Linked DNA regions of Nothobranchius furzeri. The main gene of each other region encodes a partner of the protein of the gene in region 7 in a complex. Links are inferred from orthologs where the notes say so. Each region holds a gene or a part of one and is shown on either strand. Other genes may lie near its edges.

Region 1 (2,615 bases), on a different chromosome or scaffold from region 7:
ACTCCTCTTCAGACTCCTCCAGCGAATCAGACTCCTCAGACTCCTCCTCCAGCAGCAGCAGCAGCTCAGGTACGATCTGATGAATGCTTTACTTTCTGCTGCGGTTTGACGTTTTAGATTTCAAGTGAGAGGATGAGTTATGTTTATAGTTCAGAGGTTGGGCAGGAACCAGATGTTCACCAGCTGATGAAATGAACCCAGAATGTTTTTATTTTGATTCTACATCTGCTGCAGGGAGGTCAGTGCACCATAAAACTGCTGCTACCAGTTTATCTTTATAGCAGGAACGAGCAGTGATTTCCAGATGTTTGGTAAAATATACAAATAAAAAATAGGCATTTCTTTTGATCTGTACAATGTATACACTTCCACAATTCGTCCATTTGGTTTTATTTTGAAAGGATTACACATTTGCCCAAGTTTTTTTGTAAAATTTTTTTGAATTATTCACATTTCCACTCATTCCTGAGTAGCGATGGGTACCGAATTCTGTACTTATTAAGGTACCGACCGAATTCCATAGTACCGATTGAGCACAGATTCACGTCATTTCTAACGGTGCCTCGTTTCGGTACCCGTCCTTCATAACGAGAACTTGCCTAGGCAGCTGCGCAAGAGCGTTATGTCGTCGGTCGCTGCGAGCCAGTTGTAAACAGAGCAGCATGGTAGAAAGAACGCACGCTAAAGCTTGGGTCCACTTCACTAAATTTGATGGGTAACTGGGTGATGATGAAACCAGCGACAACGATCTAAATGAGACATCCTCATCTTAATCTGCTCCGGTTGATAACGTTAGCTTGATATGTTAGCTTCCGTTTCACTAATGGTGCGTTCGCTTTCTCCTCGGAACTCCGAATTTCCGACTAGAAGAACATGAACGCGCTCTAAAGTTTGGCTTCACTTTACTAAATGCGACGGGTGATTGGGTGAAGATGAAACCAGTGACAACGATCTAAGTGTGAGGTATCATCATTTTAATCTGCTCCAGCAGCTAAATAAACTGTTTAAGATAAAGTTAGCTTGATGAATTAGCTTCCATTGCCACCGTTGTTATCAGCTAATGGTGCGTTCGCTTTCTCCTCGGAAATTCTAACTTCCCAGTAGGAAAAATCTAATGAAAAAAGACGGCAAAAGGAATGAAGATACACAGTAAATTTAGTTCACAGTAAAGATGTTTGCTTCAGTTTAATTATCAGCTTATAAAACTACAAGGACGATGTTAAAATACAAACAGTTGTATGTTATTTATCGTGATATTTATCAAATATGGTTATATATTGAGAAACATATATATTTAATTATAAAAGAGAATTAAAATATTAAACACTCAAAAGTATCTAAAATTGGTAGCGTTAAGAACCGGTATCGATTCCTAGGTACCGGGAATTAGTACCGAATCGATTCAAATGTCAAAGGTACCCATCCCTATTCCTGAGTCTAAATGTGTGGTTTTAAAAGTCAAATTGATAGAAGTTCTAGAAGTTACATTTCCCCGCTTTTGTCCTCCAGACTCTGATGACAAACATAAAAAGAAGAGAAAAGGCCGAAGTGAGGAGAAAAAGAAGAGGGAGAAGAGGAAGGAGAAACCTGACAAGCGTGGGGGTGGACGCAAGAACGACAAGGACAGAGACGAGGGTGAGAAGCAGTCGGGGAAAGACAAGAGAACCCGTGTGCGTGATTTGGACGAACGCTCACGTGAGGATACCCGGTGGAGAAGACGAGATGAAAGGCCAGAGGAAGATGAGCGGCGTAAGGAGGAGGAGGAGAGGAGGCGAAAAATTGACCATCAAAGAGACAGCGAGAGGGAGAGGGAGAGAGACAGAGGGAGAGACAGGGAAGGAGTGAGGGAGAGAGAGAAAGAAGAGACCAGAGACAGAGAGAGGAATAAAGAGAACAGAGACAGGAACAAAGAGCGAGAGGAGAGGAGGAGGAGGTGAACTCTTCATCTCTCTACTGCAGCAGCCATGATAAACTGATGATTGACAGCCCTCATCTCCTCAGCTTCTCACTTCTGATGTGGACCTGGGACCCATTTTTATTTTCCTCCTTCAGTCCTTCTGTTGAATTTAGTTGATGAAATGAAAGAAAAATTAAAGTTGTAATAGATGTTTTTAACTTTCGTGTCTCTGAATCCTGATCCACCTATACAGTTAGTGGTTTTTCTAAGCTTTCTTTTCATTTTCATAAACTTCAGCAAATTTATAGCTGGTGAATATAGAAGTTTTCAAAACTGAATGAATCAAATAATGAAACTATAAGATTTAATATTAGGAAAACAAACAGTTCAGACACAAACGGCTGCAGTTACATTACTTCACAAATGAAAAGGTTTTATGAAATTAAATTATAAAATGCAGGTCACTCCATGAGAAGAAATTTTAGATTTTCAAAATAAAAGCTGAGACTTAGTTGAGAGTTCCTGAACTTTGTTGTGTTCCAGCTGTAAGTAAATTTGCAGCTTTACAGACTAAAGAAGCCCAAACTAAACGGATTCATCTCCACCCATCACATCTGATATTCAGCTCTCTAAATCATGAATCGATATTTACCCATTGTTTTCTAACTTAAGTGTCTTTAGTGCGACACACACCTTCCTGAATTATTCTTCAACCTTG
Region 2 (3,500 bases), on a different chromosome or scaffold from region 7:
TGTGGTGTAGATCTCCCTTTTATTACATTTAGAGTGTTGTGGGTTTTCGGTTTAGTGTAAAATATCACCTGAGTTTGGTTTAACCCGTAAGACCACTCGCCTCACGCACATAAGTGACCAAAACAAAGCAGCATGGAGACACTCCATCTTCTACCACCTCTCAGGCAGCAGCCTGCACTCCCAAGTTCTACACGTCACCAGAACATAACCAACCGCAACACAATAAAAGCAGTGTTATACAAAATGGAAGGCCTGTAGTGTTTATTCTCTTACAGTAAGAATTTATCAATTTTTTTGAGGAATTTATTTGAGATTTTCTGGTTTTTGTTAATTGTGCAATAGAAAAATAATCATTAGATTAATTTTCTAAATAGTCATTAGAATAGTCGACTATTCGATAAAATAATCGTCAGAATAATCGTTTTAAAAATAATCGTTTACCCCCAGCCCTAAGTGTCAATAACTTTACAGCAATCCTCATACTAAGCAAGCATAACCACTGGCGCTGCTGTAAGCCAACGCCATGAGGCAGAAGGACAGGATGCAGCTGTATGATGTTATGCAGACATGGTCAGTTTTGAGTTTACTGTACAACGTGTACAACTTTTGACCCTAATGACTATAAACTGAGTTTTACAGTGATGCTTTGTCATTATGCATTCCCAAGTCAAAATCGTCTCTTGTATTTCCGCCATGCTACTTATTTTAATTTACAGTTAGGTCTGGGACAATAATCAATAAATCAATTCATACGATAGATGAAAATGAACTCAATAATTTTTCCAGCCTGGATACGTCGTTTTTTGTCAGACACGTGACCTGCATGTCAACCGCACCCCTTAGCACCATTTTAGGTGTATGACTCGTGTTGCTAGGGGAAACTGAAGATGAAGCAGAACAAGTAAAAAGGATGGATGAAAAGAACAAGGATGAACGCATCCCTTACAGGATTAAAGTTGTGAAGGAGTCTAGAGATCAGTATTTTCAGAAATTGTTTACAATCAGTAACGTAGATCTCTACGACCTCAAAGGAAACAAACGGAGCTCAGGCGTTTCAGTACTGCAGAAAATATATCACTTGTGTTAGTTAAATAAAGGTTTCATTGCTGCGTTTTAAAGGGTGTACTTGCATTATTATGATCCATTAACATTACATAAGTGGTTATTTTGGTCTCTATAATGTCAACAATAATATTGTTTATCATCAATAATTTGTTGGATAGCAAAATTTGTTATCGTCCCAGGCCTATTTACTGTCAGTGTGATTACTGAGTTCATCAACAAAAATTATGATCATTATTGAGTAATTTTCTTGACTTATTCACACAAAATGCTAGTTGTTACCATTTACTTTAAGTTGCCAGTGGTAAGCTGAAGCTAATTTAATACCACCTGATCAGGAGGAGGACTGGGCTGGTTACAAAATGCTTTTTTCCCACTTATCAAAATCTGGAGAATATGGCAACAGGCTAAATTTCACTTAGAGATGGAATATCCCTTTAGATATTCAGCTTGTGATGTCAGTGGCAGTTTATTTCATCTTAGACGAGCGTTAAAATAACTTTCTCGTGTTATTTTCCATTGTGCTTACAGATAGCCAATTCTGATGGCACTCGACCAGTAGGCCAGCTGGGGAAGGCAACAAGCTCCAGTGACATGTTGCTCAAACTGGCCCGCACTACTCCATATTACAAGAGGAACCGGCCCCATATCTGCTCCTTCTGGGTGAAGGGAGAGTGTAAGAGAGGCGAGGAGTGTCCCTACAGGTAAATAACTTAGTGGTCTCCGTGTTTTATGAATCTGACTTTGTGTTTTAACACCTGCCTCCTTAAGTGTATTTTCTACCTTATGCAGTTCTGCCCACTTTGCTTCCTCTGGTTTTCACTAACTTGTGCCATCCTGTCCAGCACTGGGTCATGAACAGACACAAAAGTGTGTGATGAAAAATGATCCAGGTTTCTGTAAATTCAGCTCTTATAAATATCCTACATCTGTCCCTCTTCTGCTGCTGTGAGGATTACTAAAGAAAACAGCCTGAGATCACCTTTAAAGTTATTTTAATTACACCAAAGATTTTCATGTAATAATGAAAAATGTGATTACCTGGATAAGAAAGCCTGTTCATCAGCTGATGCTCCTCACATCTGATCCGAGCTTCGTGACACAAATAAGAATGTTTTAATCCCACAAATGGAACAAAATGTTACTTCAGATTAAAGTAAAAAAAAAAAGTTGTGTTTTCATGCAATCAAATTAAAGTACATTAGTTCACCTGTAATGGTAAGTTTGGATGTTTTTCATCATAAACATTAAAGTCTGATGGCATTTTTTAAATGGGCTAAATGCTACAAGCTACACAGACTACGTTTACATGCAGCCAATATCCGGGTTATGATCGGGTTAAGGTCGGTATTCGGGTTTCTGAGTTGATCAGAATAACCCGTTTACAAGCATAAATAGAGTTACCTCTAACTTGCATAACCCGATTTAAATGCGGACGTTGGGATAGCGTCAGGACGTGTGGACTACGTCCAGACACAATATGCTTGTATATTTCGCTGTCTCTACTTTCGGCCGTCAACAAAAGACATAATGTTCATACTTTTCTCCAGACCAATGAAGACCGAGGTTTCCTCGTCACTCCAAAAGTGTGGTGCTGTGCCGCGACTCGCCATGTTGCTTCCAACTTGTTTACATGCATACAAGACGTCTCGCTACTCAAAAGACCAAGATTCCTTGCGAACAGAGCATGCGCAAAACACACGCTTTGATGGGAATATCCCGATTTGGTTTACATGACCAAACATCCGGGTTAGAAAAGGGTTACCCCAGGTGTAGTAAGAGCATATCTGGGTTTTTGGTGGTGTTTAAATGGCCGTGCAGAACCGGCTTATTGTGAATATTCGGGTTTTAAAAGGGTTACTGGCTGCAGGTAAACGCACTGACAGAATCCTGATCAGCTGTTTTAGTGGAATTTAAAAGTATCTCTGTGTTGTGTGTGTTCATTTCACTTTAGGCAGCAAATAAACTAAATTAAGTGTCTCAGTCTTTAGCACATAATAAATAACAATAGAAGATATTAGCAGGTCAGTAATCAGAGTAAAATGAGTAAAACTAACCAGATGTGCAGCTCTTGAGTCACGGAGTGTCATCCCCGTTTCGTATAAATGGAACAGAATCTTAAATAACATTTTGTTGCATTAAAACCGAAACACTTCAGCGTTTTGGTGGGTCGTTTAGGTGAAAAGCTTCATTCCCCAGAAGAGGTGAATCAGATGAAGCTGATGGACAGGCTGACGGCATCGGATCATATTTATTTAAAAACATCAATGAAAATGTTTGTTTTAAACAGTCCTGACTGCATCTGTAAACCCAGCTTGTGACACATCTTCCTGGTTTAGGAAGCATGTTTGAATCATGTTTTTGGTGATTTTATGAATAACAAAGCTCCGCAAAAACGAACAGCCTTTAGTATAACAGCAGCATAACTCACAACACCA
Region 3 (4,208 bases), on a different chromosome or scaffold from region 7:
ACTAGGATAAATATGCAGTAAAATGCTTTTCCGTGGGTAAATGTACAAATTTTACTTGCTAAAAGGTTACAATACACAATATAAATGAAAGAGGTGGGACTCAAAATTGAATAATACTACAAAAAAAGGGCTTCAATGGGGCAAAGCACAGCAAAGGTTCAGTCAAGAAGAGCAACACTGAGCTGAAATCTGTTTATTTCATACAAAATAAAAACAGTGATAAATTGTAGAGCAAAAGACTGCAAAGTAAACCAAAGCATAGTAAATCCAAAAGATGACATCAAACAATGAAATTTAAAACAAAATAAGTTATCGTCTCTTCTGGAAAATGTTGCCTCTCCCCATTCCACCACGACCTCGTCCTCTTGCAGCCACTGTTAAAAGTAAAAATAAAAAGTCAAACTCCAAAAAAAGGTATCTCTTTGGTCTGGAAGAAATGCCCCCCCACAAATCCCTATTTTCCCTACTCAAATATTTTGACTATGTTGGACTTCTACAAGAGAAGAAATTAGACAATACCATTAAACATTCCTTTGAAAAAGCCTTTTTTTCCCTTTATATTAGATAAAAAAGAATTGGGATCTGTCTTTCAAACCATTCCACCTCAGAAAATGTGAGAAGTGTCCACATAGAACACTGTTGTTACCTGTAAAAAAAAGTAATTAACAACTATTTAAGAGCCAAGCAGCTAAAGAGGGAACTAAACTCTAGCGCTGTCTCAGCATCTGGAGAAATTGTCCAAATGCTTCTCACTCACCTTGTGCTTTAAGAATAGCTGCCTTTCCTCTTCCTGCCCCAGAGCCTTGGTTCTTGTTCTTCATACTCTTTAACATCGGAGCATTCTTTAACATGTCCGGTAGGATCAAAAAGCGGATCTTGCTGCCGCGAATGTAGACCTGTTCCAACTGTGCAACCCGGCCATCGCGGTAGGTCACGGTGATGTTGGACATCTGTAGGGACAAATTCAAGTTTAGGTCCACAACAGGTGAAATGACCGTGTGAGCATCCATTAATCCAGTTCTGTTACTTATCTGGATCTTGGTGCACACAGGTTACCAAACTAGCATGGCTCAAATGTAAATTAACATTTCAGTTTATTCAACCCTTATAAAAATGTGTGCTGAAATAGAATCCAATTGAAGAGTGATGTTACTTTAGACTGTTTATTAAATTATGATGCAACAACAGAGTTAAATAACTGACTGAACTGGGTAAATCATGAAAGCTAAAGACCAACTTAAAATGAAAACCCAACATAAAAGCCTTTCTGATAAGAATGCTTTAATGAAACACTTTTACAAAAAAATAAAACTCTTCACACCAAGCATCCATGTACACCATTGTTTGGCCAAACGTTTTGCAATTTAGGGGAACACTAATCCCAAACACAAATTAGTTTACCAGTAATTACACAAACAAAAGCTTTTATGACTACATACCCCACAAAAAATCCACATTAACAGAACACCTTAAATGCCAAATTTACTGACCCAAGTTATTGTGAGTGCACAAAATAAAAATTAAATATTTTTTTTAATTTAACCCATTAAAAAGCTGCAAGAAAGGCAATTTGCAAGAGAAATAAAAACAAAATTTATTCAGGCAGCAGATGGGATTGAAACAAGCACTGACTGGATGTTTATGATCAACAGTATTTTGAAGGCTTTTCATTGACACTTTTCTTGACAATTAAAAATCACTGGAACCCTTTTAAACCATACTGCTAAACAAACCAACCTGGCAGTTCATATTGTCCTCTGCTTCTATCAGCTTGCCCCTGTACACCTCTCCAGTGTTGGTCTCACAGGTCACAATGTGACCCTCTGCCTCATGCAGGACCTTGATTGGTACACCGATGGACATGTTTCAAAGCTTTTCCTGGAACACAACACACAAAGCAAAAGATTATACGTGCTCACCCACAGAAATGTCTGCTCTTAAATATTGGCAACCCAAATCCATTTAACTTTATTGGTTAGCCGGGTTGCCCAGTTTCCAGCACTGAAATCTACAATCTGCATTACAACTAGTAGGAGAAGCAACAGAATAAGGCGAGTGAACTTTTTCATGACTGTGGATTAATACTAGTCACTGAAATTAAGACAAATAAGGAAAGACGCCCTGGGAAAACAGGTTTTGTGCAAAAAGCCATAACAAAAGAAGTGTTGTGAACCCGAACGCTACATTAATTGAAACTTTCATGTGGGACATAGTATTTAGACTTAACTAAAATGAAGGTGTTTTTATTATTTAGCATGAATTTACGCAGTAATACACTTTATAACATTACTAGAGAATAAACGATTTCGCTTGGGTATTCTCTTTTTTTAAGAGTCTGGTGGAGAATGTTTGATAGCATTCTAACCGCTAGCTCAGTTAGCCATACTAGCTAGCAAGGCTACAGGACAAATTTATCTAGAAACTACCATTAAACAATTCCAAACAGTAAATATGATTGGCCGTAAATGCTATTTACAGTTTACTACGATTAATAAGCATAGTTAAATACCTAAATATTTTACAGTAACATACGGAGTTTTGAAAATGCGCGTAACCTTAGCCATGCTACACATGAACGAAATAAATCGAAATTTCTAAATAACGAAAACCAATAGAAGAATGAGAACTCCGTTTCCTCAAACTAATTAATGTTACTCCTGTAACTTACCTTGACTTGTTCGTAAGAGTTATTTGCTTTATTGTTATTTCTTCTTGAACTGCAACGTGCGTTTGACGCTTTCGGGATCCTTTTGAGCCTTTTTTTCCGCCTGCAACGAAGGGTCACAACGAGTGTTTCCGGTGGCACCTACCGCGATGCATTGTGGGACACGTAGTTCAATAACGCCCATGGTTGAGGACTATTGAGTATGTACAGTCTATGGGACTATTATTTAGTGAAACTGACAAACTCAGCTTCTTATGTAGAATTATTTTTTTTATAAAGACTGAAACACATAAAATTAAATAAAATAAAAACTAAAATTATAAGAAACTATTTACATTTTAATCACGTTTCCTTAATTTATAATCTGTTTTTTACTTGTATTTGTTTTTAATTTTTTATGCTTGAGAAGCACCTCGCGATTTTTATCTTGGGGGCGCTATATAAAAGATTGTTTCATTCTTTCTTCTATAAATGTTGAGTTATGATGGAAATGAAAATTGATTTTCATTCTCCACAAGTAGAACATTGCATTTCTAAGAGGACTGAATATGTGTTTACGTACATCTGACTAAAGTTTAATGAATAAACTTGATTTCCATGATTTTGAAGGAAATCAGCTGTTGACTACATTTTCTGCATCGTCTAATGACGATGGGCAATTTATGCAGCTACACCAGACACTGAACTGTATTGTTTTAAAAAGCAAATGTTGATCCAGTAGCAGGATTGATTTGCATTTTCTTTCAGAAAAATAGAACAGTTTTGCATTACTTGTCATCTTGGCTCCAAGTTGACATTTACAGCTTTACATGGCTTTTCATAAAGCAGCTCAGTGTTAGGTACTTTTTAAATTCCCATGGAACATTGATCCATCATTGAATCACCCACAACAGTATTTTTATGATCTGTATCTCATGCAAATCAAAACAGCATTAGACATAAAAACAAAACATTAAAATGAACTAATTTTATCTATTTTTACAACACTGAGTATGGCCACAGTGTACTGCACAAATGATATGCAAAGAACTAGAATAAACATAAAGTACACATAATATACATACCCGTGTATGTTTGTTCCAGGAGATGTGTCTCGGGGATTGCTACGGGACACATAAAAGTGGCCTAATGCAGGTCTGTCCCACATTGAAAGAGCTTTTTAATGGGGAAAGAGAAGGCATAATGGGATAATAAAAGACATCATCAAATGAATCTTCATTTGATTTCCATTGCATTTGGCTCATTGACTGGCGTCAGCAGCCATGGCTGATCTGTAAACACCTTTCAGTGAGTAGTTTGTGGTTGGGCACTTTACGTGTGTGTGTGTGTGTGTGTGTGTGTGTGTGTGTGTGTGTGTGTGTGTGTGTGTGTGTGTGTGTGTGTGTGTGTGTGTGTGTGTGTGTGTGTGTGTGTGTGTGTGTGTGTGTGAGTGAGTGAGTGAGTGTGAGGAATCTTTTTATGATTTTGATGTGTGCAGGCCAGACCCTGAAAGTAGTGGTAGCATCACAGGTAGTAACAAAGTGGAAATAAGTCCTTTGGTTCA
Region 4 (4,197 bases), about 56 Mb from region 7:
CAATTATGCGCGCGCGCACACACACACACACACACACACACACACACACACACACAAACACACACACACACCTAAGGAATTCAGACAGACCAATTAACCTAACACTCAAGTTTTTGGACTGTGGGAGGAAGCCGGAGTACCCGGAGAGAACCCACGCATGCACAGGGAGAACATGCAAACTCCATGCAGAAAGATCCCAGGCCGAGAAGCAAACCCAGGACCTTTATATATATATGCATGGTGGCGCAGTGGTTAGCACTGTTGCCTCGCAGCATGAAGGTCGCAGGTTCAAAACTCGCCTTTCTGCGTGGAGTTGCGTGTTCTCCCCATGCATGCGTGGGTTTCCTCCGGGTACTCCGGTTTCCCCCACACATCACAACATGCCCTACAGGTTATTAAAAAAAAACTTGTACGTCGCTTTGGATAAAAGTGTCTGCGAAATGAATAAACATAAACATACACACACACACATATATATATATACACACACACACATATATATATATATATATATATATATATATATATATATATATATATATATATATATATATATATATATATATATAGAAAGAGAGAGATAGAGAGAGAGAGAGAGACTCAAAAATGTAAGCCTAACTAAAATAGGTTGTTTAAAATGTAAATAGTTTGTACTTACAGACACTCCGTATTTAAGGGCCAGGCCCTGCAAAGTCTCTCCCGGTTGGACGACATGTTCCACGACTCTGCGGCGAACCGGAGACTGTGAAGGTCGGATCAAACTGCCGTAAGATCTGGTTCGGCTTCCGCGAAGGAGGCCCCCTCTCCCGGGAGGCGATGGCTCTCGCTCCCCGGACATTTTGGTGTATCATTTGTGTTTAAACCCGTCCAAGGTGCGGCAGAATACAGAGAGCTGTAAACTTTAGCTTTTACCAGAGAAACATGTATGTAAGAACTAGCACACGACCCAACTATTCAAGCTTCTTTCCTTTTTAAACCTGCTATTTTAAGCTTAGCAATACAGCACCTGCAGCACACACAGGGCCTCTGATGTAAAAACCCCGTTAAACTATATGATAAACCTATTTTACACACCTGAAAAGTTATCGTGAACTTGTTAGCATTTTCTCGTATCTCGTGAAGTCAGCAGCAGCAGTAGCAGCTACGCTGGTTGCCATGGCTGCCTGGGCTGGTCACATGATTCTTAACAAACGGTGCGTTTAATACAATACGAATAACAGAAATCACTTTAAAGTTGTTCGAATTCGTTTTAGGAGTACCTAACGTTTAAACTGTTTCTGCACTTGAGCAGTCTTTTTTAATGATAATTATGAGCGACAAATAATGGATATGATTCAGAAATGTTTGTGCACACTTTAGTTCAAAGCTGAACTCCGTTCTAAATTTGGAGGTTAGAATTTCCCATGCGTCGATTCTTCTGTGAACGCATCAGCAGGGCTAGCCTAGCATTGACAAAAAGCAGCTAATCTGGTTCCAACTTCAGTTTAAGAGTATATGTCATAGCAATGTCTTTTAAAAGAGAGGGGAATGACAAGAGTCAACTCAACATTCTTAAGGTTAAATATTGTTTTATACGTTGTCTGTTTCATTAAATATTATACGTTTGTGTAGTTAGCATCATGTTAGCATCCTGTTAGCTTCCTGTCCTGGGAGCACTCACTATTTCAACTTTGTTGACATTTTTCAGAAAAGGCGTGTGGCCGATCTGCTGTCTCATTTTATTCCTGAAGACGAAGCTGCGCTGCTGAAAAATGGAAGGTGAATTTCGGCTTGACTCACGTTCGGAAAAGAAACAGACATGTTGTTACATTAATAACTGAAAACGTGTGTGGTTTTTTAGATATACTTGTCTGGTGTGCTCCTACCGTCCCGTGTTTGATACGGTTGATGTGCTGACCGTCCACAGGCAAGGGAAGAAGCATCTAGAAGGTAAAAGTGAGCTTAAATGTGTCATTCCCTGTGGGTAAGGGATGAGGTTTGGAAGAACTTTTCTAAGTCAGGTGTTATGATTTTCTTACATTGTCTGACATCAAAGAAACACTTGAAAGTATCTGATGATATTGTGGGAAGACAATAGAACATACAGTCTGATCAATTTGTTTATTACAAATCATTAAAACAACAGCACGTGGTTTTTACTCAAAATCCAAGAACTTCACCCTGAGTTAAAGTATGGAAGAGGATTAAGGCCACTGAAAATAAAACATATGAAAAGAAAGACATCAGATTTTTCCCCTCAGAAATCTGGCTTTAATCTCAGAATTATTAAAGTCACAATCAAGAAAAAAGTCAGAATTCTGAGAAAAATGCCAGAAATCAGAGATTAACTCATTAACTGCCATTGACGACTAAAGTCGTCATTTGCATTTTTTTTACTATGTGGGCGTCGGAACGAGCCCCCGCACCGTGAGAACAAACATTCCAGCTATAAGCTGATCTTCATTCGTGTACGTCACACGCCACGTGATCAGGAAGCAGAAAATCCATGTGTTAGGAGATCGTTTTGGGCCACAGCTGTAAAAAAATAAGTGAGGCGCAAACCGGAAAAGCTTCTGCCGATCACAGTTCGACTACAGATTATGTAAGAATGGATAACACTCGAAACATGTAGATTCTGAAGAAGAAGAAGAAAATATCATTTCTATGGCGCCTCTCAAGATAAAAATCACGAGGCGCTTCACAAAAACAAAAAAATGTAAAAAATATAAAAAAGCATTTAGAAAATGTTTAAAAATTTATTTCAAATGAGCAAAAATAGACAATTGGGATTTAAAAGAAAACAATTTTAAGAAAGAGAGAGTGAATAGGAAAGAGGGAAATCAGTGGATCCTGAGGAAGGTGGAATAGGTGGGGAGAGCAGAATAAAGAGAGAGGGGTTGAAGAAGGCCATACAAAAGCCAGCTTGAACAAGTGAGTTTTCAGCTGCTTTTTAAAGGAGTCCACTGATCTCAGGCTCAAGGAGAGAGAGAGTTCCAGAATCTGGGGGCCACAGCAGCAAATGATCTGTCACCTTTGGTCTTTAGACTGGTGCGTTGCACAACCAGTAGGCTTTGATCACTGGACCTCAGGGACCTGCTGGGGGTGTAGGGACTAAGAAGATCACCAATGTAAGATGGTGCTTGTCCATGTAAGGCCCTATAGACCAGAACCAGAATCTTGAAATGAACCCTGATTCTGCCTGATGTAAGAGGTGAGTCTACTCTTCGTTTTGTTAGTTTTGGCGTTGACATCATCCTAGAGCACAACGTTCATTGACTCTTAAAGAAACAGTAGAAACACTGAAAAACGCTGGCTGCGAAGGGCTTTTCTGATCAGAGAATGGCAGGAGTGTGTCCAGGGAGTGCCCTGGGGTAGCAAATGCCACCCTTGAAATCCCAGGTGCCACCCCACCGAGTTCCATATAAATTGACTTTACATTCTCCACAAAAGGCTTAGGGTTACAATACAATAACCATAGGGGCCACTCGTGCATAAACAAGTGCCCCACCTGGGCCACCCCATTTTAAAGAGCTTGGACACGCCACTGGAGAACGGCTGGCAGTTAGTGAGTTAAAGTCAGAATTCTTTTTTTAAATTTTTTTTCTTCAGTGGCCCTAATTATCTTCAGTATTAGAAAAGACAAAACAAAAACAATCCATAATTACTTGTATACCAAAAAGTGTTTAAAAACCTGAGCAACAAAGAATTAACAGCTGTAAATTAATCATATGCAACTTGTGATGCATTTTAAATATCAAAATGCATACTAAAAAGGGGTTAATAGCTTGTTTTGATTATCGATATTAACATCGCTACACCACTGTACTATAGTTACAGTGGGAGTCATGGCATGGGTGGGGACTTATTTCATTCACACTTCCTGTTAGGAAAACACTTCTGAAAGAGGTGTCACCTGGTGGACCAAGAGAGCGACTCAGAGGCAGTGATAGACAGCACTCCCCTCAACCCCCTCTGCGTGCGCTGTCGGAGTTTCTCTGTCGAAAAATTAGTCATTAACAAGTGCACACGCATGCTCACAGTAGACTTACCTTTCTGCAGTATTCTGGAGAATTTCCTGTTAACTGCGATCATTAGATGAAAAGGGGAGGAGGGCTTTTTTTTAAGGAGGCGAGCGATTCAAAGGCTCTTTAAAGGGACTTTATGGAGTTTTGAATTTTTATGCTCGCGATTGCCCCCTCAGGCCAAAAGCGTAACGGC
Region 5 (3,668 bases), on a different chromosome or scaffold from region 7:
ACTTTGTCAGTAGGTTAGGGTTCAAAATAGGGATGCACAATATATTGGCATTAATATCGGTATTGGTCCGATACATTAAACTGGGCCAATATTAACTGATAATTTTTCCATCTTGTTTTCATTTGTTTATCTGTTTCAGAGGGTGAGGGAGGTGATGTGTAATTGTTTAGTCATGTGACAGTGATTGCAATCATCTAACAGTGTAAACATGTGTGGTGTGTGTACATAACGTCAATTCAGCTTTAATCTTTACAAATCTGTTGATCTTAGAAGCATTAATGTCAGTATATCGGTATTGGCAAACATCGGTTATCGGCCATAACAGCGATATATCAGATATTGGTATCAGCCCCAAAGTTTCATATCGGTGCATTGCACTGAAGATTTCTGTTTATTCAACTTTTCAGGAATATTTATGAGCTTCAGGTAAAAAAAATGTCATAGCAGGAGGTCAGAAAATAATGAAATGCAAACCTGAACCATGATCGCATACAAGACTAAACTGTGACCTTCTTTCATCGAAGGATTGCGTAATTATACCAGTCACTATGGTGTCATGTTGTGAGGTAAGTGTCTAACCCACGACTTACAGAATCAGTTCACAGACTACGGTCGGTTTTAAACAATAAATTAATGGAGAAAACAAGGGAGCAGCATAAATGTAGCTGAGATCTTCAACAGGAGTCGGGTGCAGGAATCTGCAGACAGATGGAGGTTAGATCCAGCTTGAAAAGGGCAACAGGGACTTTAGAAAACTGGGGAAGCACTAAGATTGGTCTGTAATTATCATACTGTAGTAAACAAGATTTGTGGTTTTCTTAATTTGAACACTACATTTTATTGACCTTGTAAACATCCATCCATCCATCCATTGTCTGAACCCGCTTTGTCCACGTAGGGTTGCGGTGGGCTGGTGCCTATCTCCAGCGGTCAATGGGCAATCAGGCGGGATATACCCTGGACAGAAAGCCAGTCCATCGCAGGGCAACACAGAGACACACAGGACAAACAATCATGCACGCACACACACACACACACACACACACACACGCACACACACACACACACACACACACACACACACACACACCTAAGGACTGTGGGAGGAAGCCGGAGTACCCGGAGAGAACCCACGCATGCACAGGGAGAACATGCAAACTCCATGCAGAAAGATCTCAGGCTGGGAAGTGAACCCAAGGCAACAGCTCTAACCACTGCGCAGCCGACCTCGTAAACAATACAAGTAAAATAGGTTCTTGGAGTCCTGTCATGCCGGTCAAAATATGCACGATTTTTCTCCGATTGTTCCTGAACGCGTCTAGTTCCGGAAGTGACGCACCGTTGTGTACAGGAACGTTTCCTTTTCACTTTTGGAAGCAGCTTCGTAAGTGTTGTTGCTTTAAAAACGTATTTAAATTGTGTTGTTTATTTTAAGCTTTGTGTTTCAAACATGTTTACTCTCGTAATTATCTTGCATTGGGTTTTAAAAATAGGAAATGTTCCTTAAATTGCATTGTCACCCACGTTAGCCTGTTAGCAACTGATTAGCGGTGGAAGCTATCAAGCTAACTTGTGTTTTAAACAACATTTAGGAGGAAACTGATCGTTAAAGGTTTTAACTCATATTAACATTAGACTTATTATGATGTATATCTAAAATTACTTATTGTAATTTATGAATTGGTCAGTTATTTTCTGCTTTACGTTTTGCCAGAGCACGGCCATCAAAGATGACTACAGCTGCAAGACCAACATTTGAGCCGGCGAGAGGGGGTAGAGGAAAAGGAGAAGGGGATTTGAGTGCTCTTTCTAAGCAGTATTCCAGTCGGGATCTTCCAGGTCACACCAAGATCAAATACAGGTCAGAACAGTGGGTTCCAGTTTCTCAACCTTAAATATTTATTCGAACTACTTAAACTGTGTTTCTTTCATCTCAATTAAAAGGCAGCCTACCCAGGATGCCCCTGAGGAAGTGCGTGCCCGTGATTTTCGCCGAGAGCTGGAGGAGAGGGAGCGTGTAGCTGCTCGTGAGAAGACCAGAGAGAGGGGACCAAGAGGTGGATTTTTCTACTCATAATAAAGATTAGATCCAAAAAGGATGTATGCAACGGTTTCTGGCATAGTTCCTTTAATCTGTATTGTGTTGATTTTATTTCTTCAGAGCACACCACATCATCTTCTTCATCATCATCATCTTCAAAAAGGCCCAGACTGGATCAGATCCCAGCAGCCAACCTTGATGCCGATGACCCTCTCACTGATGTAAGGATTTACATTGCAATACATCCCAGACTTACACTGGATAAAGTTATTAATCCATTTTTACATTACAGGATGACGAAGACGAGAACTCAGATGAAGAAAGTGATGATGACGACACTGCAGCCCTGCTGGCTGAACTTGAAAAAATTAAGAAAGAGCGAGCTGAAGAGCAAGAACGCAAAGTAAAGAGTTTTAAGTTTGTGTTTGCTTTGGCTATAAATGAAAAGTGATGTTATAGAGGATGGCTTAACCTCCGTGTGCTTTTCTTTTGTTATTTAGGAAAGAGAGCAGAAGGCAGAGGAAGAGAGGATTCGAATGGAAAATATTTTGAGTGGAAATCCATTGATAAATTTAGCAGGACAGCAACAGCAGCAGCAGCAACAACAGCAACAGAGCCAAACTCAGAACACATTCAGAGTCAAGAGAAGGTATTTCTTATGTTCACTTGTTACAGCAAGAATGTTGGTTTTTTGTTTGTTTGCATTTGGAAAAACAAATATATTCCTTCACCACCACTAATAATTCTGATGTACTTCTAGGTGGGATGATGACGTAGTGTTCAAAAACTGCGCCAAAGGAGTGGATGAGGCGCGGAAAGAGAAACGTTTTGTCAACGACACGCTGCGCTCTGAGTTCCACAAGAAATTTATGGAGAAATATGTAAAGTAGAGGACTTTGTGTGTGTGTTTCATTTGATCTTTTTTAATTGAAAATGTTTTAGTTTCAAGCATTTTAATTGCAGCTGGCATTTATTTACAGTCTAACTAATTGGAAACCGTACTGTCTGCAGGTCAGTTGCTGTTTGCGTAAATCATGAAAGTTTGAAGCACATTTCAGAATGTGATTTCAGTATTTCTGTCATGCATTTTTCATTATTTGAATAAACATTGACTTTTTTCCCTTGAATTACTTTGCATAATTTCACAGAAATAACAGATTGTGCATTTTTTAATTTTAAAGGGTAAATTAACTTAAAAAGTTAAGTTTTATAAAAAATGCTAGGGGTGGGGTGCCTAAAATCAGCACAGAAATGGGTATGAAGAGTGTTGCTTTTCATTTAACCCTCCACTCCCTAGTGCTTTTTTTGTGCAAAAGGTAATGGGTTTTGCAAAAGTTCAAGGATGTGGCGAGGGTTAAAAGATACTTTGTAACTTGTTCATATTTTTAGATAATTTTCTTGAGCCAGTATGTGCTAAAATAACCCTTCACAGTGTTAATGAAATGCCACCCAGCCCCTATCGCCCCCTGTGGCCAAAATATCCCACTTGCAGCTTCACAGTTGCTGGTCTGATCTGTTGAACTTAGAAGAACTTGAGCTGACATACCTGGCGCTGCAGTCTAGTTCCAGCAAGTTTCCTGCATGGTTTAGATCATGAACACAGCTGATTTGTTTCATTTAGTGATGA
Region 6 (4,255 bases), on a different chromosome or scaffold from region 7:
AAGGGTGGCAGAAATATTTGAGGTCATCAATGTTCAACCTGTTCATTTTTCTGTTTGTTTCAGCCATGATCTCTGAAGTTAGTGGAAAAAACCTTTAAGGAGTGGAAGGATCAGGAAACACAGCCGGCCAGATCTACTCCATAAACAACTCTCTGGCACATAATTGCTCCTATTTACATGAAAATGGATATTTTTGTTGGTAAACTTGCTGTGACTACTTTGTTTGTTTACTTTTGTGCCATGTCTTTTAGGTCTCAGAGGATTTGTTGGGAACTGAAAGAGTTGTGTGATAATCTGGGTTATGAGTCTGAGAGCTTTGACATTCAATCACTTTTATATAAAAGTGATTTGAACTGCACAATTCTTAATGGCTTAAAACTAAAGTACATTAAACTTATTGGGGGTAAAATTGGACCATTTTGCTGTTTTTATTTAAGTGTGTAAAACAGATCTAAACAAATGTTTCTACAGAGCAGCTGCTACATGAGGTTGTGATTGAGCCACCATACACCACGAGATAAAGTTACAGTCATTAATGAGGTAGCAAATAAATAATGAATACAAAAAGGTGCAACAAGGAGGCAACAAAAACTTGTTAAAATATGATAAGAACAAATAAAAAAGATGCAAAACATCAAAGTACATTGTGTGTGTGTGTGTGTGTGTGTGTGTGCGCGCGCGCGTGCGTGCGTGTGTGTGTGTGTGTGTGTCAGAGAGAGAGAGATAGACAGATCCAGGGCCTAAATAAATCATTATGATGACATCACTGAGTTCCTCAAGCTAAAGATCTTAAATCATCACTACTTTTGAGTTACTGCTGGGAACAATAACGTGTTCAGTGTCTATCGAGTAGAGTCAGTTTCTAAATGGAGCTAAAGCATGTCTCCTACAGCACTGACAGAATGGTGATGGTGATAACAAATGTCGTCTTTGTTTCTGCAAATAGAATTAAAGTAAACATTAATTCTTCTTTTTTTTCATTATAAAAAATCTAATATTGTTTTACTGTGCCATCCTTATTTTATCACACAAAATTGAATTGTATTTGTTTTAATCATTTGTATTTCCAAACAAGAATCAAATGACCACTTGTTTTTTTTTATTATTATTTGTATTATTTTTTTTAATTACTGATTTGGTTCCCTGATGAAAGACTCCTATTATCAAAATTAACACTTGTTAATGTGATGCTTTTGTGTCCAAAATGAGGGAAAAAATGTCTGTTTGTCAGTGTTAATTATTCGTTTTATTTTTCTATTTGTTTTATTTTATTTATTAGCAAAAATTAGATGGAAAATCAAGCCATAGCTCATCCATTTTTACATCAAAAAGATAAGCGGCTTGTTTAGCAATTGAGTATTTTCAGTTTTACAACAAAAGCCAGATTATGACTCTTGTGGTATTTTTTAAAAAGAAAAATATATACCATAACAAGGATGGTGGAGCGGTTTACCCCTTTTGATCCTCCGCGCTATCCGTAGTTTCGGACAACAGTCAACATGGCTGCCTCCAATGGCGTCAGTAAAGGAGCTGAGCTTTCTAAAGCTGAGTACCTCAAACGTTATCTGTCAGCCAGCGAAGATGCTAGTAAATCAAAAGGAAAGATAAAAAAGAAACGACGCAAAGTTCCTGAAAAAGGGTGAGTTTGTGAGAGAGTTCTATAAAGTTTCTTTTCACTTGTATGCTAGCTGTTTCGCTAGTCACTGTGTCAGTTATCGCTTTTTTGTTACTTGGTGACATTTATTATTTTCCTTTTATTTCAGACTTAAAATAGTAGATGATGATATAGACTGGAGACAGATGGTCACAGAACCGAAGGAGATTGAAGAGGAGGAAGAAGAAGAAGCTCCTGTGGTAAACAGCTAGCTAACGTTAGCTTTTTCGAAAGACCTTAATTCGATTCAAACGCTTTTAAAGCAAATCTCTCCCTTCAGTAATCTCTGGCAATATTAAGACAGGCGTTCAGTTTTAGACTCCATACATTGGGTTGAGTTTATGAAAGTGTATTCACAAGTTTTTAGACACTAAAACTTGATCCCAAGTGGGTCAAAATACTTAGAATGTTTTTGTGCCATTTTAATAATTTTTGTTTAAAAAGATCAAGAGGAAGATATTTTGCACTATAAACAGGGCTAAACAAGTGCAAAATTATAGTTTTTTTTCTTGCAACAAATAATAATTTAATTTGTGGAAAAAAAATCTTTTTGCGTAATCTGTCCATATAATCCAGGAGGGAAAAAAAGCTGAATTCTGACATAAACAGAGACAAAAAAACACAAACTTTTATTTATTAGAAGGTTCTAATGAGTGATGTTTCCTCAAATGTTATGGAAATGCAATATGGATAAATTTGTGTGCCCACTAAGATTGCTGAATTCATTGACGAGCGACCAGAGGAGGTGAAACAGATGGAAGTCTTCAGGACCAGCAACAGATGGAAAATAGTTGGAGGTAAACGTGAAACACAAACAAAATCTGTTCCTTTGTTTAAGAAAATCATCATCTAGTCTTCCCTGTAGCTGATGAGAACGAGGAAGATGAAACAACGGGGGAACGTGTAGAGTCTTTGGAATCTAGCAAAATTCACCAAGACTCACCGGAGAGGTCATCAAAAGACATGAGACACAATTCTCCCATCAGAAAAGCAAGACATGACTCTCCGGACACATCTCCTCCAAGGAGAGGTCGCCACGACTCTCCAGACTTGTCACCTTCAAGAGGGCATTCAGGGAAATCAGGAAAGGGCCGATATAAAGGTGAGTGATAAACGTTTTTTTCTGTGTCTCTCATGGACAGGCATTTGTTTTAGCATCCTGTTCTCCACCACTGATTGAAGCATATTCAGGGTTTTTCCTGCATTCAAATTCGGCCGCCCCAGCCTGATTTCACTCTGCCCCCAGCTATATGGGTGTTATTTTAACTGCAGTTGCAGCGTTACGCCCCTACAGGGGCGCTGTATCAGCAGCGGCGCACCGAAAAGCACTAAAACCACTGCAGACAAAGAAGATCAAAAACTGCTTTTCTCGCTAGTTACATATCTATGGTTGGTGTTATTGACATCCTGATTTTCCCCCAGGCTCTTCCATATCAGAGCAGAGCTGTACAGTGTGACGAAAAGAACTGTCTGTGCGTGTCTGTCTATGTTTAAACGTAGCACTGGTGCAACATCTTTGAATTACTATTTTCCCCAGAACTTTATTGAACAAAGTTAGTTGCGTGTAAGAAAAATGCTTTTTACCGGCGCAGTGTGGTCATCTGGATGCAGTGGAGGAAAATACAGGAACCAGCAAAGGCAGAACCGGTCCAAAGTTTGGGATCAAAAGTGCAGCTACACGCAGATTGGCTAATGCTAAAGCTAACGGTTAGCAGTCTCACGATCAAGTGGTGCACAGAAAAATATATGATGGTAAAACTAAGAAAGACTAAAATCTACAAGCGGATGAAAAGTCCCCACCATCCTGTTTATTCTGCATCCTGCAGCGCTATGGATCAGAACCGCTGCAGATACGAGTCACATTACTGCCACAATGCTGCAGTCGCCATGGTAACTCTGTCTCCCTATCCCACCCTGGGTGGGACTGCGACCGGTGAAGGCCATTGAATCGTTTCCAGGAGTCACTGTGCCCTCTAACCCACATACCTCCTTCCCCTGTCCAAACGGAGGTGACGAGCGCTGCTTATCGCGGCTGCATGCACTGATGTGTGGAGAGTCCCAGACCCTACCACCCCACCTAGTGGACACTTATGTTGTGTAATGTCTGAAGTCTGTTGCATTTCTGTCTGAGGTGTTTTTTTGCATAGCAAAGCTGCCCTCCCTGTCTCTGAAGTGCCTTTTTTCCCTCCACCTGACCCAATCCTTATGTAAACCCTCCGGGTCGCGAATGACCACAGTCACCAATTCTTGTCATGTGTCTATGCCTATGTATGTATGTCTGATCTCAGAATTGTGTGTACTGAAACTCTAATTTCCCTCTGGGATTAATAAAGTATCTTTGAATTGAATGGAACGGCTATGGCAAGCCGTTGTAGTATATAATTAACAGACGCTTCTATCTTTCAACATAATTTGAACTGGATTATTGCCAACCCGTACATAATAGACATGCCACCATTACATTTTTAGCAGCCAAAATTAAATGTTATTACCATTTCTGATACAAATGCATATTAATGAAATGCATTATATAATTATATAAGTATCTCGGGGTCTTGTTCACGAGTGAGGGTAGGAGGGATCGGGAGATCGACAGGCGGA
Region 7 (4,073 bases):
TGTGTGTGTGTGTGTGTGTGTGTGTGTGTGTGTGTGTGTGTGTGTGTGTGTTCAAATAATAAAGTTAAAGTCCCATAGTCATCATCACACTGGTGAAATTCATCTCCACATCTGACACATCCCGATGGAGAGCAGGGAGCTGCTGCAGTGGCTGCGCTCAGTAATTTGGTTGTTTAACCCCCTAATGCAACCCTTTAAAGCTGAGTGTTAAGCAGGGGGGGGGATTGGGTTCCTTGTTAAAGTCTTTGGTATGACTAGACCGGTATTCAAACCCGATCTCCCAATCCCAGGGCAGACACCTGATAGTGGCCTAAATTGTTTTATATCTGAAATGTTTGAGAAGAAATTACAAACTTGTTAGTTAAATTTCACAATCAAAAAGAATTACTTGATGTTCCTCTGAGTCTACAGCAGAGGGACAATAGGCCACCAGAGGGCGTATGATCTGATGTGTTTGTAATGCTGCTAATAGTTTTTGTTTTAGCGCGTTAATTTAATCTTGTTTAACACAGATAATTATGATACATTTATTAAGCTTCATCGGTTGTGTAGTTTATATAACTGCAGACCTTCTGACCTCTTGTTATTTCTTTTATTTTGAAAGGATTTATAGGAAGTGCTAATTGGTTATGTGTTGTTCAACTTTATGTGAACACTGTAGTAACCGCCTCTGACCGCCAGAGGTTGGAAAAAACCCTACTCTCGAAAGCCAGAAACTAATTGAGTTCTTGTTATCAAGTTGACATAAACAATACATTTAATCACTTATAGACAGATTGTGTTGGCATCAGTTACGTCAAAAGATTATTTAGACAAAAAGCAGTTAAACATAAAATTTTCTTACAAATTTATGTCATTCGTTTTTATTTATTTTTCTTTCTTTTTTTGTTTTTTGTTGTTATGGTTGTTGTTGTTGTTGTTGTTCTTGTGAAGCGCCTGCTCATGATTATTATCTTGAGCGGTCTTGTAAAAGATCGTTTCTTCTTTTTATCAACGACATTTCTAATGGCTATTTTTGTGTATTTTGTTTATTAATCGTTTATACATTTAGTGTCCAATCAAAATGCGTTAATTATTTTTCTGTTTAAAACTAAAATTACCTTTTAAAAATTATTTCAAGTACTACGGAAGAGGATTAAGGCCACTGAAAACAAAGAATAATGATTTAAATCTGAAAATTCTGAGATTAAAGTCAGAATTATCTTTCTGTTCATTTTTTTATTGTATTTTTCTTTTGTTTTCATTGGCCCTCGTCCGTTCTAACATAATATTTTAGGTTTACCATTCTAGCCAGAGCCGCGTTGACTTTGATTTATGGACGGTTGTGAATCTCATTTTGGCAGAAGGAGCGCGTCACGTTTCGCCTCCAGAACAACAGGGGGCGCTACTGCTCTGGCAGCCACTGTTCTTACACCAACAAAAACATGGCGGACCCAGACAAACCAAAAGCAGCTACTTGTACGTTTTTGTTTAAAAAATCCACCAAGAAATTCTCCGGAAGAAAACGAAAAGCAAGTGACAGCGATAAAGGTAGTAAACTATCATTTAGATACATTTCCTTGTAATTTTCTCCTAACTAGCGTTGTCTGTCCTCTGGATAGAATTGATAGCGGCTTCTCATCAGGGAGATCAAAACCGCGACCCAAACAGTTTGTTTATATTATCCTCCATAATAAACAGGACCAAAAACATTATGGTTTATCACCTGAAAGCTACATTTAAACAAAGAGGGGAAGTAACCTAGTTTAATTGTAATAGATTTTGTAATGTTTGTTTACACCAATTGTGTGTGTGTGTGTGTGCGCGTGTGTGTTTGTTTGTTTGTTTTAGATGGCGATAGTGACACTGAACAGACTGCTGTGGTCAGAAAAGAAAAGAAGGATGCTCGAGTCAACCCCATGATTCAAAAGGTAGAGCAGGCAAGCTAATAGATACTTAGTTATGAAGCAGCAACGTGAATGATCTATGTATTCTTTGTTCAGACAAAAAAAGTGGAGAGGGACGCTGTGTCTTCTAGTGAAAGCGAGGAGGAAAAGGGAGACAAAAAGATAACGGTTGCTTACAAGTCTTCCCGATCAGCGGTGAGTTCAGACTGCATTCATTCAAAAATGTCAGAGCCAGACAGTACAAGTCAAACACTGATCTTTTTTCCATCATGGCTCAACCTGGCTGTTGAGACAAAACATACAGGGGCTGAAACTTCACCAGAAAAGCAAATTTTAACATTATTTTACAATCTACAGACCATTCTCATCCACGTACACATGACTATGTGCCCTGAACAGTTGTTTTTATTTACTTTAAAACTTTCTACTGTACCTTGCCTTCATAAAAAGAAACCCGAGGGGCCTGAAGACATGGGTGCAACTGCCACTTATCAGCTGGACACAGAGAGAGACAAGGATGCTCAAGCTATTTTTGAGAGGAGTCAGAAAATCCAAGAGGTAGGACATGCCGCTATTGGTTAATATAAAATGAGAAATAATCAAAATCTCACCTTCGTCATTTGAGCTTTCCCTCCTCTGTCTCATTAGGAGCTAACAGGTAAAGAAGATGATAAAATATACCGTGGCATCAATAACTACCAAAAATTCATCAAGCCTAAAGACACCACCATGGGCAATGCCTCTTCAGGCATGGTCAGGTGAGGCAAGAGATATTCACATGCAGTCAGAAGATGTTGTTCACCTATAGATGCTGAAGGTTACGTTCAATCTGTGCTACAGAAAAGGACCGATTCGAGCTCCTGAACACCTGAGAGCTACAGTCCGGTGGGACTACCAACCGGATATTTGCAAAGACTACAAGGAGACGGGTTTCTGTGGATTTGGGGGTTGGTGAAAACAATCTGAACTCTTAAAACGTTCCTACTGTGAAGTCAAAGGTTTTGTTTATTAATCATGATTGCATCCGTTGCCATTAGACAGCTGCAAGTTCCTCCATGACAGGTCGGACTACAAACACGGCTGGCAGATTGAGAGGGAACTGGAGGAAGGGAGATATGGAGCAAATGGTGAGTAAATAATCGAACTTGAAATCTTCTCTTTTGCTGGCTAGACTAAGTTTCTGATGTGTTTTCATCTAGATGACGAGAACTATGAGGTGAGCAGTGATGATGAAGACTTGCCCTTCAAGTGCTTCATCTGCAGAGAATCTTTTAAAAATCCCATCATCACAAAGTAAGTACTGCGATGGTTTCTCTCCTTCAGTCCTTGTTTATTACCGGCTGGTAATCGCTGTTTCCTTAGGTGTAAGCACTATTTTTGTGAGAGCTGTGCTCTTCAGCATTATCGCAAGTCAAAGCGCTGCTACGTGTGCAACACTCAGACCAATGGTGTCTTCAACCCCGCTAAAGGTAAATGCATTTGCTCAAAAACATCCAAGAGGAGCAGAAACCAAAGTAAACAGTCACACTTGATGTTTTATTGTCATTTATTCTAGAGCTGATTGCCAAGATGGAGAAACGCAACGCTTTAGCCGACCAGCCACCGTCAGACGAAGAAGATTAGAACACGCTTTAGAACCCTCTCTGTGTTTGTCTGTGTACATTTCTAATAAAGTTCATGGCCTCGGTTCCTTTTGTACAATCATGTTGAAACACTGAAGCAGGCCTGGGTTTGTAGTAAAAGTTTTACATTTGTAACACGTTGCTTTGTCCAAACTTTCAAATATACATGCAGACAAAACCAGCACCAAGAAAACATTTACATCTGACGTCAGTAACACCCAGAGAGCCGAAGAAAAGGCTAACTTTTACGCTCTTAATGCTAAACTAATAATTACAACCTGTGCAACAAAAGAGTCTGAACCGTGAGACGATGCATCTGCTGTAGCAGACCGGAGCTAAGAAATGCTGTCAGTCCTCAGAGAGGACTGCTAGGTGCCCTTATGGTCGTCTCCTGGAGCAGACGGACCAAATCGTGTTAACACAAACGGTGGAGCGTCTCCTGGTAATATTACGTAGCAGCATTTCATTGATCCGTCTCCTGACCTTTATGGTTTGGGCTACATCTACCTTTAGAAAACTCAAGAGTTGTCCTTTTGGTTCGTGGGTGTGTGTAGAGTACAATCCG

The links.
Region 1: rnf113a (region 7) and cwc22 share a complex: the UniProt entries of both Homo sapiens proteins name them as parts of the minor spliceosome. The link is inferred for Nothobranchius furzeri from reciprocal best matches to the Homo sapiens genes RNF113A and CWC22.
Region 2: rnf113a (region 7) and rbm22 share a complex: the UniProt entries of both Homo sapiens proteins name them as parts of the pre-catalytic and catalytic spliceosome complex. The link is inferred for Nothobranchius furzeri from reciprocal best matches to the Homo sapiens genes RNF113A and RBM22.
Region 3: rnf113a (region 7) and snrpd3l share a complex: the UniProt entries of both Homo sapiens proteins name them as parts of the minor spliceosome. The link is inferred for Nothobranchius furzeri from reciprocal best matches to the Homo sapiens genes RNF113A and SNRPD3.
Region 4: rnf113a (region 7) and scnm1 share a complex: the UniProt entries of both Homo sapiens proteins name them as parts of the minor spliceosome. The link is inferred for Nothobranchius furzeri from reciprocal best matches to the Homo sapiens genes RNF113A and SCNM1.
Region 5: rnf113a (region 7) and cwc15 share a complex: the UniProt entries of both Homo sapiens proteins name them as parts of the minor spliceosome. The link is inferred for Nothobranchius furzeri from reciprocal best matches to the Homo sapiens genes RNF113A and CWC15.
Region 6: rnf113a (region 7) and bud13 share a complex: the UniProt entries of both Homo sapiens proteins name them as parts of the minor spliceosome. The link is inferred for Nothobranchius furzeri from reciprocal best matches to the Homo sapiens genes RNF113A and BUD13.

The regions. Positions count from the first base shown.
Region 1 is NC_091754.1:30,050,200-30,052,814, forward strand, and holds the end of cwc22 (pre-mRNA-splicing factor CWC22 homolog), read left to right. Parts: coding exon 1-69; intron 70-1,509; coding exon 1,510-1,937; 3' UTR 1,938-2,115; downstream 2,116-2,615. UniProt on the Homo sapiens protein: Required for pre-mRNA splicing as component of the spliceosome. As a component of the minor spliceosome, involved in the splicing of U12-type introns in pre-mRNAs. Promotes exon-junction complex (EJC) assembly.
Region 2 is NC_091741.1:95,930,087-95,933,586, reverse strand, and holds part of rbm22 (pre-mRNA-splicing factor RBM22), read left to right. Parts: intron 1-1,593; coding exon 1,594-1,766; intron 1,767-3,500. UniProt on the Homo sapiens protein: Required for pre-mRNA splicing as component of the activated spliceosome. Involved in the first step of pre-mRNA splicing.
Region 3 is NC_091746.1:48,714,771-48,718,978, reverse strand, and holds snrpd3l (small nuclear ribonucleoprotein D3 polypeptide, like), read right to left. Parts: upstream 2,801-4,208; 5' UTR 2,669-2,800; intron 1,879-2,668; 5' UTR 1,864-1,878; coding exon 1,738-1,863; intron 951-1,737; coding exon 758-950; intron 375-757; coding exon 310-374; 3' UTR 179-309; downstream 1-178. UniProt on the Homo sapiens protein: Plays a role in pre-mRNA splicing as a core component of the spliceosomal U1, U2, U4 and U5 small nuclear ribonucleoproteins (snRNPs), the building blocks of the spliceosome.
Region 4 is NC_091745.1:65,775,870-65,780,066, forward strand, and holds the start of scnm1 (sodium channel modifier 1), read left to right. Parts: upstream 1-1,397; 5' UTR 1,398-1,505; coding exon 1,506-1,556; intron 1,557-1,687; coding exon 1,688-1,758; intron 1,759-1,840; coding exon 1,841-1,929; intron 1,930-4,197. Other genes in the region: lysmd1 (lysM and putative peptidoglycan-binding domain-containing protein 1), read right to left, coding at 659-838. UniProt on the Homo sapiens protein: As a component of the minor spliceosome, involved in the splicing of U12-type introns in pre-mRNAs. Plays a role in the regulation of primary cilia length and Hedgehog signaling.
Region 5 is NC_091750.1:48,553,524-48,557,191, forward strand, and holds cwc15 (protein CWC15 homolog), read left to right. Parts: upstream 1-1,233; 5' UTR 1,234-1,384; intron 1,385-1,469; exon of another isoform or gene 1,470-1,612; intron 1,613-1,714; 5' UTR 1,715-1,730; coding exon 1,731-1,861; intron 1,862-1,944; coding exon 1,945-2,057; intron 2,058-2,161; coding exon 2,162-2,262; intron 2,263-2,333; coding exon 2,334-2,444; intron 2,445-2,541; coding exon 2,542-2,690; intron 2,691-2,801; coding exon 2,802-2,931; 3' UTR 2,932-3,168; downstream 3,169-3,668. UniProt on the Homo sapiens protein: Involved in pre-mRNA splicing as component of the spliceosome. Component of the PRP19-CDC5L complex that forms an integral part of the spliceosome and is required for activating pre-mRNA splicing.
Region 6 is NC_091750.1:44,767,950-44,772,204, reverse strand, and holds the start of bud13 (BUD13 homolog), read left to right. Parts: upstream 1-1,455; 5' UTR 1,456-1,499; coding exon 1,500-1,639; intron 1,640-1,763; coding exon 1,764-1,854; intron 1,855-2,366; coding exon 2,367-2,451; intron 2,452-2,519; coding exon 2,520-2,756; intron 2,757-4,255. Other genes in the region: rsph3 (radial spoke head protein 3 homolog), read left to right, coding at 64-98. UniProt on the Homo sapiens protein: Involved in pre-mRNA splicing as component of the activated spliceosome. As a component of the minor spliceosome, involved in the splicing of U12-type introns in pre-mRNAs.
Region 7 is NC_091745.1:10,008,299-10,012,371, forward strand, and holds rnf113a (E3 ubiquitin-protein ligase RNF113A), read left to right. Parts: upstream 1-1,370; 5' UTR 1,371-1,424; coding exon 1,425-1,530; intron 1,531-1,830; coding exon 1,831-1,910; intron 1,911-1,982; coding exon 1,983-2,081; intron 2,082-2,336; coding exon 2,337-2,444; intron 2,445-2,534; coding exon 2,535-2,644; intron 2,645-2,726; coding exon 2,727-2,833; intron 2,834-2,923; coding exon 2,924-3,013; intron 3,014-3,085; coding exon 3,086-3,179; intron 3,180-3,248; coding exon 3,249-3,355; intron 3,356-3,441; coding exon 3,442-3,509; 3' UTR 3,510-3,573; downstream 3,574-4,073. UniProt on the Homo sapiens protein: Required for pre-mRNA splicing as component of the spliceosome. As a component of the minor spliceosome, involved in the splicing of U12-type introns in pre-mRNAs. E3 ubiquitin-protein ligase that catalyzes the transfer of ubiquitin onto target proteins.